2 linked regions of the Xenopus tropicalis genome follow. The protein of the gene in region 1 interacts with the protein of each later gene in a pairwise test. Links are inferred from orthologs where the notes say so. Each region holds a gene or a part of one and is shown in the gene's direction. Other genes may lie near its edges. The genes, in order: epn2 and wbp2.

Region 1 (4,504 bases):
ACTCAGCTGCCTACTGCTCACTCCAACTCACGCTCAGCCGCCTACTGCTCACTCCAACTCACGCTCAGCTGCCTACTGCTCACTCCAACTCACGCTCAGCTGCCTACTGCTCACTCCAACTCACACTCAGCTGCCTACTGCTCACTCCAACTCACACTCAGCTGCCTACTGCTCACTCCAACTCACACTCAGCTGCCTACTGCTCACTCCAACTCACACTCAGCTGCCTACTGCTCACTCCAACTCACACTCAGCTGCCTACTGCTCACTCCAACTCACACTCAGCTGCCTACTGCTCACTCCAACTCACACTCAGCTGCCTACTGCTCACTCCAACTTTTATCTTCTCTTGTTCACTTACATTCCAACTCAGCTGCTTACTGATCACTCCATCTCATACCCAGCCCTTTCCTACTCATCTCTCCTATACTCATAGTCTGCTCTCTCTTTCTTACTCCAACTCATACTTGATTACTTACATTGACACTCAGCTGCCTACTGCTCACTTCATCTCATCATACTCCTCAGCTTTCTCCTGCTCATTCCAACACATACCTCTCTTCTACTCATGTTCTGCCCCTCCTGTTTCTTCCATCTCATGCTCAATCCCCTAGTGCTAATTCCAACTTATACTCAGCTCTCCTGCACTCATACTCAGCTCCCTCCTGCACTCATACTCAGCTATCCTGCACTCATACTCAGCTCTCCTGCACTCATACTCAGCTCTCCTGCACTCATACTCAGCTCTCCTGCACTCACACTCAGCTCCCTCCTGCTCGCTTCCATTTACACTCAGCTCCCACAAGTTCACTTACAGCAGTTGAGCAATTCTGAGCTGCCCTCAGGTTCCTCCCTCACAGCCTCCCGGGGCAGCTAAGGGCAGCAGACCAGGGATGCAGGAGGGCCGCGGAAGGTGTAAATTCCTGGCTGCTGTGAGTTTGGATTGCAAGCTCCTGGGACAGAGTACATGCAAAGCCCGAGTTATTACAGTAAAGATGGCCCGTATAACCTTGGGGCCTGAGTAATAGATAAGTCATGGGAGTCTAACCTGCACCTCAGGGATGTCTGAACTGCAACTCTCTAAATCGTTCCAACAATGATTGGGACCTGGAGCTGCAGTTCAACAGCTGGAGGGCTGCTGGTTGGACCGCCCAGATATATATATTTCAGTAGGTAGCAGCAGGGATACAGAATAGGTAGTTTGTTGCTTCTCCCCCCTCCCCCAGGGGGCGCCGGTAATGCTGGGGGCAATATGATAATGTGACACCCACACAGACGGGAGCAGACAGGAGCTCCTTCCCTGGCCCTCTCTCCGCTCCCCCTCCCTCCCTTCCAGGCTCTTGTTTCTCCCCCCTCCCTTCTCTCCTCCCCTCATCCTCCCTCCCTGGCCGCCTCTCATCTCCCTGCCGCCGGGCTGGGGCAGTACAGACACCCGATCCAGTGCGCAGCAGTGGCCCCAGCGCTCCTGTGTGTAACAGTGGCCCCAGCGCTCCTGTGTGTAACAGTGGCCCCAGCGCTCCTGTGTGTAACAGTGGCCCCAGCGCTCCTGTGTGTAACAGTGGCCCCAGCGCTCCTGCGCTCCCCCAGCGGCCCCTCCGCACTGCTCTCACCTTGAGCCGGTAGGGGTGGGAGAGGGAAGACCCCCAGTTCCCTGCTGGAGGCTGGAGCACCCCTGACGCCCTGGGAAGGAGAAAGCTCAGTCCGGGGTAAGTGCCTGTTGCTCTATGGGTCTGGGGAGGTCTGTGTATTGGGGACCCCCTGTAGGACTCTCCTAATCCCCCAGTAACCCCTTCCTGGCAGTGTAGCTGCTTCTGTACAGGGGCCTGTTGCATGAGATGAGTAACACAAGAGGCCTCTTGCTATGGGTGTGGGATCCCTCCCCTGTGCCCCAAATTCATTCCTGGATTCCCATATGTGCCATGGAGCTGCTGCTCCCTCCTGTGGCACCTTGGCACCCATCACCCTCCGGCTGCAGTGCCAGTTCTATTCCCTGTGGGTGCCCTGTCCCTCTGGCTGGGCTCTGTATCAGCTGCTAAGTGCTCTGCAATACTACATGAGACTGGTGTAGCAATGCCAGGACTAATGCCAGGACTAGTGCCAGGGAGAGGGCAAGGCTGGCAGGGGTATGGCCCAGAGGGTACATGGCTAAAGGGGGGTGGGGAATGCAGCAGAACTAAGTAGTGAGTATTAGGGGCATTGTGCATGACCTATTGTCAGGGGCTTTCATCTTGTGCCTCCTGCAAAGGAACAAACTCCCGGCCTCCCACCCCCGGACCCCCCTCCTCCCCTCTTTGCAATTTGGCCTTTTAAATTCACTTCTGTTGTGAGTAGAACCACATGGGACTGTAACAGGACACTTAGTCCCATCAGAAGCTCTGCTGGTGCATTGCTTTACATGTGTGCCCCGCTGTGTGTGAGTCTGTGTGTTAGTGTGTGTGTGCGTGTAAGTGTGTGTAAGTGTGTGTGTGTGTAAGTGTGTATGTGTGTGTGTGTGTAAATGTGTGTGTGTGTAAGTGTGTGTGCGTGTGTAAGTGTGTGTGTAAGTGTGTGCGTTTAAGTGTGTGTGTAAGTGTGTGTGCGTGTAAGTGTGTGTAAGTGTGTGTGCGTGTAAGTGTGTCTAAGTGTAAGTGTGTGTGTAAGTGTGTGTGTGTGTAAGTATGTGCGTGTAAGTGTGTGTGTAATTGTAAGTGTGTAAGTGTGTGTGTAAGTGTGTGTGTGTAAGTGTGTGTGTGTAAGTGTGTGTGTAAGTGTGTGCGTGTAAGTGTGTGTGTGTAAGTGTGTGCGTGTAAGTGTGTGTGTAAGTGTGTGTGCGTGTAAGTGTGTGTGCGTGTAAGTGTGTGTGTAAGTGTGTGTGTGTGTAAGTGTGTGTGTAAGTGTGTGTAAGTGTGTGTGCGTGTAAGTGTGTGTGCGTGTAAGTGTGTGTGTGTGTAAATGTGTGTGTAAGTGTGTGTGTGTAAGTGTGTGTGTGTGTGCGTGTAAGTGTGTGTAAGTGTGTGTGTGTGTAAATGTGTGCATGTAAGTGTGTGTGCGTGTAAGTGTGTGTGTGTGTAAGTGTGTGCATGTAAGTGTGTGTGTGTGCGTGTAAGTGTGTGTGTGTGTAAGTGTGTGCGTGTATGTGTGTGTGTAAGTGTGTGTGTAAATGTGTGTGTGTAAGTGTGTGCGTGTATGTGTGTGTGTAAGTGTGTGTGTAAATGTGTGTGTGAGTGTGTGTCTGCGCCTCCAAACTATTCGCCTGAAGTTTAAAAATACAAAGCGAGCCTCAAAAAAAACCTGCAGAATGACAACTCTTTTTTTGGGAGTGGAGCAAAATTAAAGGGGCAGTTCACCTTTAAATTAACTTTACATATGATGCAGACATTGATATTCTAAGCCAATTTGCAGTTGGTCTATATTTTTATTTTTTTGGGGTTTTGTTCAACAGCTCTCTGGTCTGGTATTTTAGCAGCTGTCTGTTTGCTATGGTGCAGTTTACCCTAGCAACCAGACAGTTGTTTGAACAAGAGTTGGGAATATGAATAGAGGAGGGCCTAAACTGAAAGATAAGTAGTACAAAGTAACAATAAATAAAGCCTCACAGAGCAGTCCTTTTTAGATGCAGGAGTCAGAGGAGAAAGGCAAATAATTAAAAAACTTTAAAAAAAAATACATAATAAAGACCAATTGCAAAGTTGCTAGGAAAGCAATCACATTTTGGGGTATAATATTGACCTTTAGGCCCATGGCACAGGGGACATATTCTCTACCAGTCGATTGAAAAGGGTCCAAATGGCTTCATTCTGAAGAATACTGAGAATACAGGGAATAAGCCCCCTCCCCCCCCACGTGCACCGCGGGCCTTGTTACAAAGCTGTAATTGCATGTAACCTGCTACGCGGGCACCGGCGCCAACTTTATAACAGTTCACAAAAGTTATATTTATAATTGCAAAAGCTGTTTTGCACTTATAAGGAGAAAATTGCTGACACGGTGCATATTTTTTCCATTGTAGACTTTTTATGACTGAGTGGGAACTGTCCAATCCCTGCTTTTCTTCATGGGTGGGGCAGAGGTGTGACCCTGAAGGGCCTGCCTCTTACATGGCCAAGATGAGGGGTCCCCAGACTTTTTTACATGTGAGTCACGTTCGAATGTAAGCATAAAATGATTCCTGGGGTGCCAAATAAGGGCTGTGATTGGCTATTTGGTGTCCCCTATGTGGGCTGGCAGCCTACAGGGGGCTCTGTTTGTCAGTATACTGGGTTTTATGCAAACAAAACTTACCTCCATGCCGGGAATTCAAAAATAAGCCCCTCTTTTAAGGCCACTGGGAGCAACATCCAAGGGGTTGGGGAGCAACATGTTGCTGATGGACCACTGGTTGGAGATCACTGGCCAAGTTAGAAAGTTTGGTGATGTAGGAGAGCTGCAGAGTGCAGTGCTTTCCAAACTGTGGGGTTCAGACTGCCTTTTGGGGTGAGATTTGGTGTAATGTGTATTTGTTTCTCCTTGATACCCCTGAAAACCA
Region 2 (4,392 bases), on another chromosome or scaffold:
TCCTTGCGCGCGCGTCCCGTTGTCCGCGGGACATTGCGCACGCGCGTCCAGGTGTGTGTGCGTCAAAGCGCACGTACATGTCAAAGCGTGCACGTCCGCGACGCGCTAACGGCGCCGGTTCTGCGCATGCGTGGGGGGTATTTAAAGCTATCAAACGCCTCCTCCTGTGCTATGTTGTCTGCGGCCTTGCCTGGGAAACTAAGCCTGCCTGATTTACCTTACGACTTTCTGTTGCCGATCCTTCGCTTGCCTGACTCTGATTTTCAATACTACAGTAATTATTCTCTAATTTATTAGGAAATGGGGTTAACACCTAATCATGCATGGAAAAAAAAAAATACCGTCAAATACAGCGACACCGATATCATTTTGAAAAATACTGCAATATAAATTTTTGGCCATACCGCCCAGCTCTAATTTCTACCTCCTTCTGCCGATTCAGCGCTGAAGGCAGATTTTGCTCAGGCGCCTTCTACGGTGCCCAAACAAAATCTTTTAACCGGTCCGATTGGTGAGTCGACAGCCTTCTGTGATATCGGCCGCCTCGCCGAGTTGCCATACACGCACCGAATATCGTATGAAACGAGGTTACGTATATTATCGGTGCGTGTATGGCGGCTTTACCCTGGCAATACCGGACCCACCGTATGTTAGAGAAACGCAACGTAATACTTACCTGTAAGATAACTTTACCTCAACTAATATATACATCGACCAGTTAGAGACCTTCTTGTATTTCCGCCGCTATACTAAGGGGCTGATTTACTAATCCACGAATCCGAATGGGAAAAATTTGGATTGTAAAACGAACATTTTGCGACTTTTTCATATTTTTTGTGACTTTTTCGTAGCCGTTACGACTTGCGCGAATTGTCGCGACTTTCGTATTGAGCGCTCGAAAAAGTCACAAAATACCGATCATTACGAAAAAAAAACACTTTTTGGACGTTCGTGGGTTAGTAAATGTGCCCCTAAGTGTAAGAAGGGGCGAAGCAACTACGCGGGGAGTATGAAATAGCTTAATATCAGCCCTGTGATAACCTCAATTGGGATTGTATGAAATCCTGTTAGGAGAGGTTTGTAGTGAAGTAGTATGTTTAACTAACTAATTGGCCGATATAACTGTACAAAATAAGATTGGATATTCCCCATAAAGTAGAATTTAACACTTACTGCCCTGAATAGCCGCCCAAACACAGCGCTACATTGGTAACAACCGTAATACACGGAGCAGCTCTGCGCCTCAGCGCTAAGTGATCGTTACAATGAAGTATTAGCAACGCAGAAACACAACTACAACATTAGCGCCTCAAGCGGCCATGGTTTATTTTCAGTGATACACGCCCCCTAGCGATCAAGAACACATGCCAGTCATAGATCCCTCAGCCAATGAGCGGCCGGCCCTACAGCAGTGGAACCGCCCAGACTGCGTCTCAAAGTGCGAGAGACTCTTCGAGCACGGTGATTGGCTGTTGCTAGGCTGCGGAGGTGTGACCTTTTTATCTCCGCAATATGGCCCTTAACAGGAACCACCTGGATGGCGGAGGTGCAGTAATTAACAACAGCGAGAGGTAGGACAGCGGCTAAGTAGAGAGACAGTCGCGGGAAGCAGTCAGCGAAACGTTAGACGGACCCCCTGCATGAATATGGGTTCCGGGTATCTGTCATCATATATGGGGCGGAGCTTGGACATGACGAGCAGGGATTTGTGCCAATTATGGAGCTGATACAGATACACCCGCCTCCCTCTCTTTGCCTGTCTGCTGTACTATTTGTATAATATTGTGTGTGTTTTCCTATTCCCAGGCACAATATACTTAATTCTATCAGCATATCTATATATAATATGTCCCACATGTATCCCTTGTGAGATTTACTTACTAAACCCCCTTTATTATTATTTATATTATTAATTTAATATAATATTCTTATGAAGCACTTACATAATCACATGATACAGTGGAGGGGTGTATACAGTGCTGCAATATGTAGGAGATATTTAACGCTCAGACCCGGGGAAGGCAGAGTGACCCTGGAGATTATAGGAGGCCCCATAGGGCACTGACTGATAAGCAGTTTTAATAGCTTTATTATAAAAAATGTCTTATTCCTAAAGTTTATTGGGGCGCTAAAATGATTTTGCTATAGGGCTCAGTTATGCCACTGAAACCGCGTATCATTCAGTGTTCTGTTGGATCTCTTACGGTGTCGGACTGGCCCACAAGGATAGCAGGAAAACTCCCGGTGGGCCCAGATGTCAGTGGGCCCTCCTGCTCCTCAGCATTTGGCCTGCTTCATGGTCATTCCCTGTTTCTGAATGGGAACAAAGAAGAGAAATAGATGGAAGAATAGATGCTAGCATGTAAATAAAAGAGACTAGGAGAATAAAGAGGTTGGGTGAGGAAAGGAGGAAAAATAGTTTGGAAAAGCGGCCTGGGGTCTAAGGTTTTCTGGTGGGCCTCTGGGTTCCCAGTCTGACACTGATCTCTTATACCTTGGCAGTTGCAGGGTCTTCTTCCTCTACATTTACACCCTTGGGCACTCCTCTTATTCCTCAAACAGATAGTCAGTTTGGCCCAATATCATGAAGATGCACAATAACCACCCCCCACACACACCACACCCCCAAGGGGTCCCCATCATCCCAAACCCCCCAGTCTGGTGGAGGGACGTCAGTTCAGGAACACCAGCAGGGATCGAGGGGCCCGCTTGGTTTTTTCCCGGTGTCCAGCTGGCAGTTCGTCTTTGACTACTAAACTGCACTGTTCTCATTGAACTTGCCCTTTATTATCTTCCAGTATCCTTACTTCTTATGAACATGTGGAGGTCACATTTAGTGACATGGACAGCACCCCAGAGGCTTTCAGAGGGACCAAGAAAGGCAGAGTCATTCTGACACCATATCGAGTAAGTCTGCCTCCCTTTTCCTTCACTCATTAGGTGCAGTCTGACTCATTGGCACCATGGAATAAACTGCTAATGTGCAACTAAACTTTCCATTAGGTCAGAGAAGACACTTGGGGGTTATGTAATTAAAAAAACTAAATTTGCCCAGGAACAGTAACCCATAGCAACCAGTCAGCAGGTAGAATATACTTATTGGTTGCTGTGGGTTATTGCTATCAGGCAAACTTAAGGTTTAATCGAGTGGATCATTTCCACCTAAGGTGGGCAAAATTTGGCTAAATCGATTGTTTCGCCACCTGCCCATTTTTATCCAGATATTGGTTGGGTAGGCCTGCTGGGGGGCCCCATGGGCAGATAAGCGCCCGAAACGGTCTGAAGGACTCAAATCGGCAACTTAGATTTGCCAGTGTATGCCAAACTTTAGTGTCATTTATTACATATAGGGCTAGTGCCCTTCTACACCTCCTTAATAAAAGTCACAGAGGGGATCCATGAACATATAAAGGCGGCACAAAATCACTTTAATACAGGCCCTAAAGCTTTGAGGTGTCTAATATTCTCTCATTTTATTCCAAGGGGGTACATTATTCTTTCAGTTATTATTATTTCAGTGAGTCATGTGACACAGATTCTAACCTATTTATAAGCATATCTTTTACGGCTCTTGTGTATTATGCATGTGGGTGAGGCTAATTTTGCATCCACAGGTGATATTTGTGTCCAAAGGAAGGGACCCCATGCAGTCGTTCATGATGCCCTTCTATCTGATGAAGGACTGTGAAATTAAGCAGCCCGTATTTGGAGCCAATTTTATCAAGGGCAACGTGAGAGCTGAGCCTGGAGGTGAGCAGTGTTACTATCTGACGGATACCTATGCGTTCTAGGTCCCACTTCAGCTCCTGGGACACCTGCCTTTATTTTTTGCTAATATAATTTGCTGTAGGTTAAATATATCTTTTAATCTGGAATTCATTTCTTTGCCTGCAGGTGGTTGGGAAGGATCTGCTACATTTAAACTAAGCTTTCCTTCAGGGGGCGCTATAGAGTTCGGCCAGCACATGCTACACGTGGCCTCTCAAGGTGAGCAGGGGGTATCTGAAGTCACAATCTCTTGACATTTAGTCTGGACTCCCAGGACTACCTAGGAGAGCAAATACACATTTGCCACAAGCCCCACACCTCGGGGAAAAGATTTAAAGGGAAATCCCAATGGGTCAGAAATTCTGCCTCAGCCTTTGCAATGCACTTTTTCCTTTACCCATTTTTATAAAATATGGTTTCTACTCGCCCTTGTAGCCTCAAGTGGAGGAGCTCCAAATGTTGCCTACCCATATATGCCCAATGGGGGCTACGTCTTCCCACCTCCTGCAGCCAATGGCATCTACCCACCTCCACCTGCTGGTTATCCTTATCCGCCACCACCCAGCGGTAAGTCATTTTACTCACTATTATAAAATACAGGTGTGAGATCTGTCATCTGGAAAC

The links.
Region 2: the proteins of epn2 (region 1) and wbp2 interact in binary tests that used the Homo sapiens proteins (3 or more experiments, as listed by UniProt). The link is inferred for Xenopus tropicalis from reciprocal best matches to the Homo sapiens genes EPN2 and WBP2.

The regions. Positions count from the first base shown.
Region 1 is NC_030685.2:18,479,310-18,483,813, reverse strand, and holds the start of epn2 (epsin-2), read left to right. Parts: upstream 1-1,435; 5' UTR 1,436-1,706; intron 1,707-4,504. UniProt on the Homo sapiens protein: Plays a role in the formation of clathrin-coated invaginations and endocytosis.
Region 2 is NC_030686.2:44,869,462-44,873,853, reverse strand, and holds the start of wbp2 (WW domain-binding protein 2), read left to right. Parts: upstream 1-1,445; 5' UTR 1,446-1,512; coding exon 1,513-1,571; intron 1,572-2,798; coding exon 2,799-2,907; intron 2,908-3,614; coding exon 3,615-3,750; intron 3,751-3,894; coding exon 3,895-3,987; intron 3,988-4,203; coding exon 4,204-4,335; intron 4,336-4,392. UniProt on the Homo sapiens protein: Acts as a transcriptional coactivator of estrogen and progesterone receptors (ESR1 and PGR) upon hormone activation. In presence of estrogen, binds to ESR1-responsive promoters. Synergizes with YAP1 to enhance PGR activity.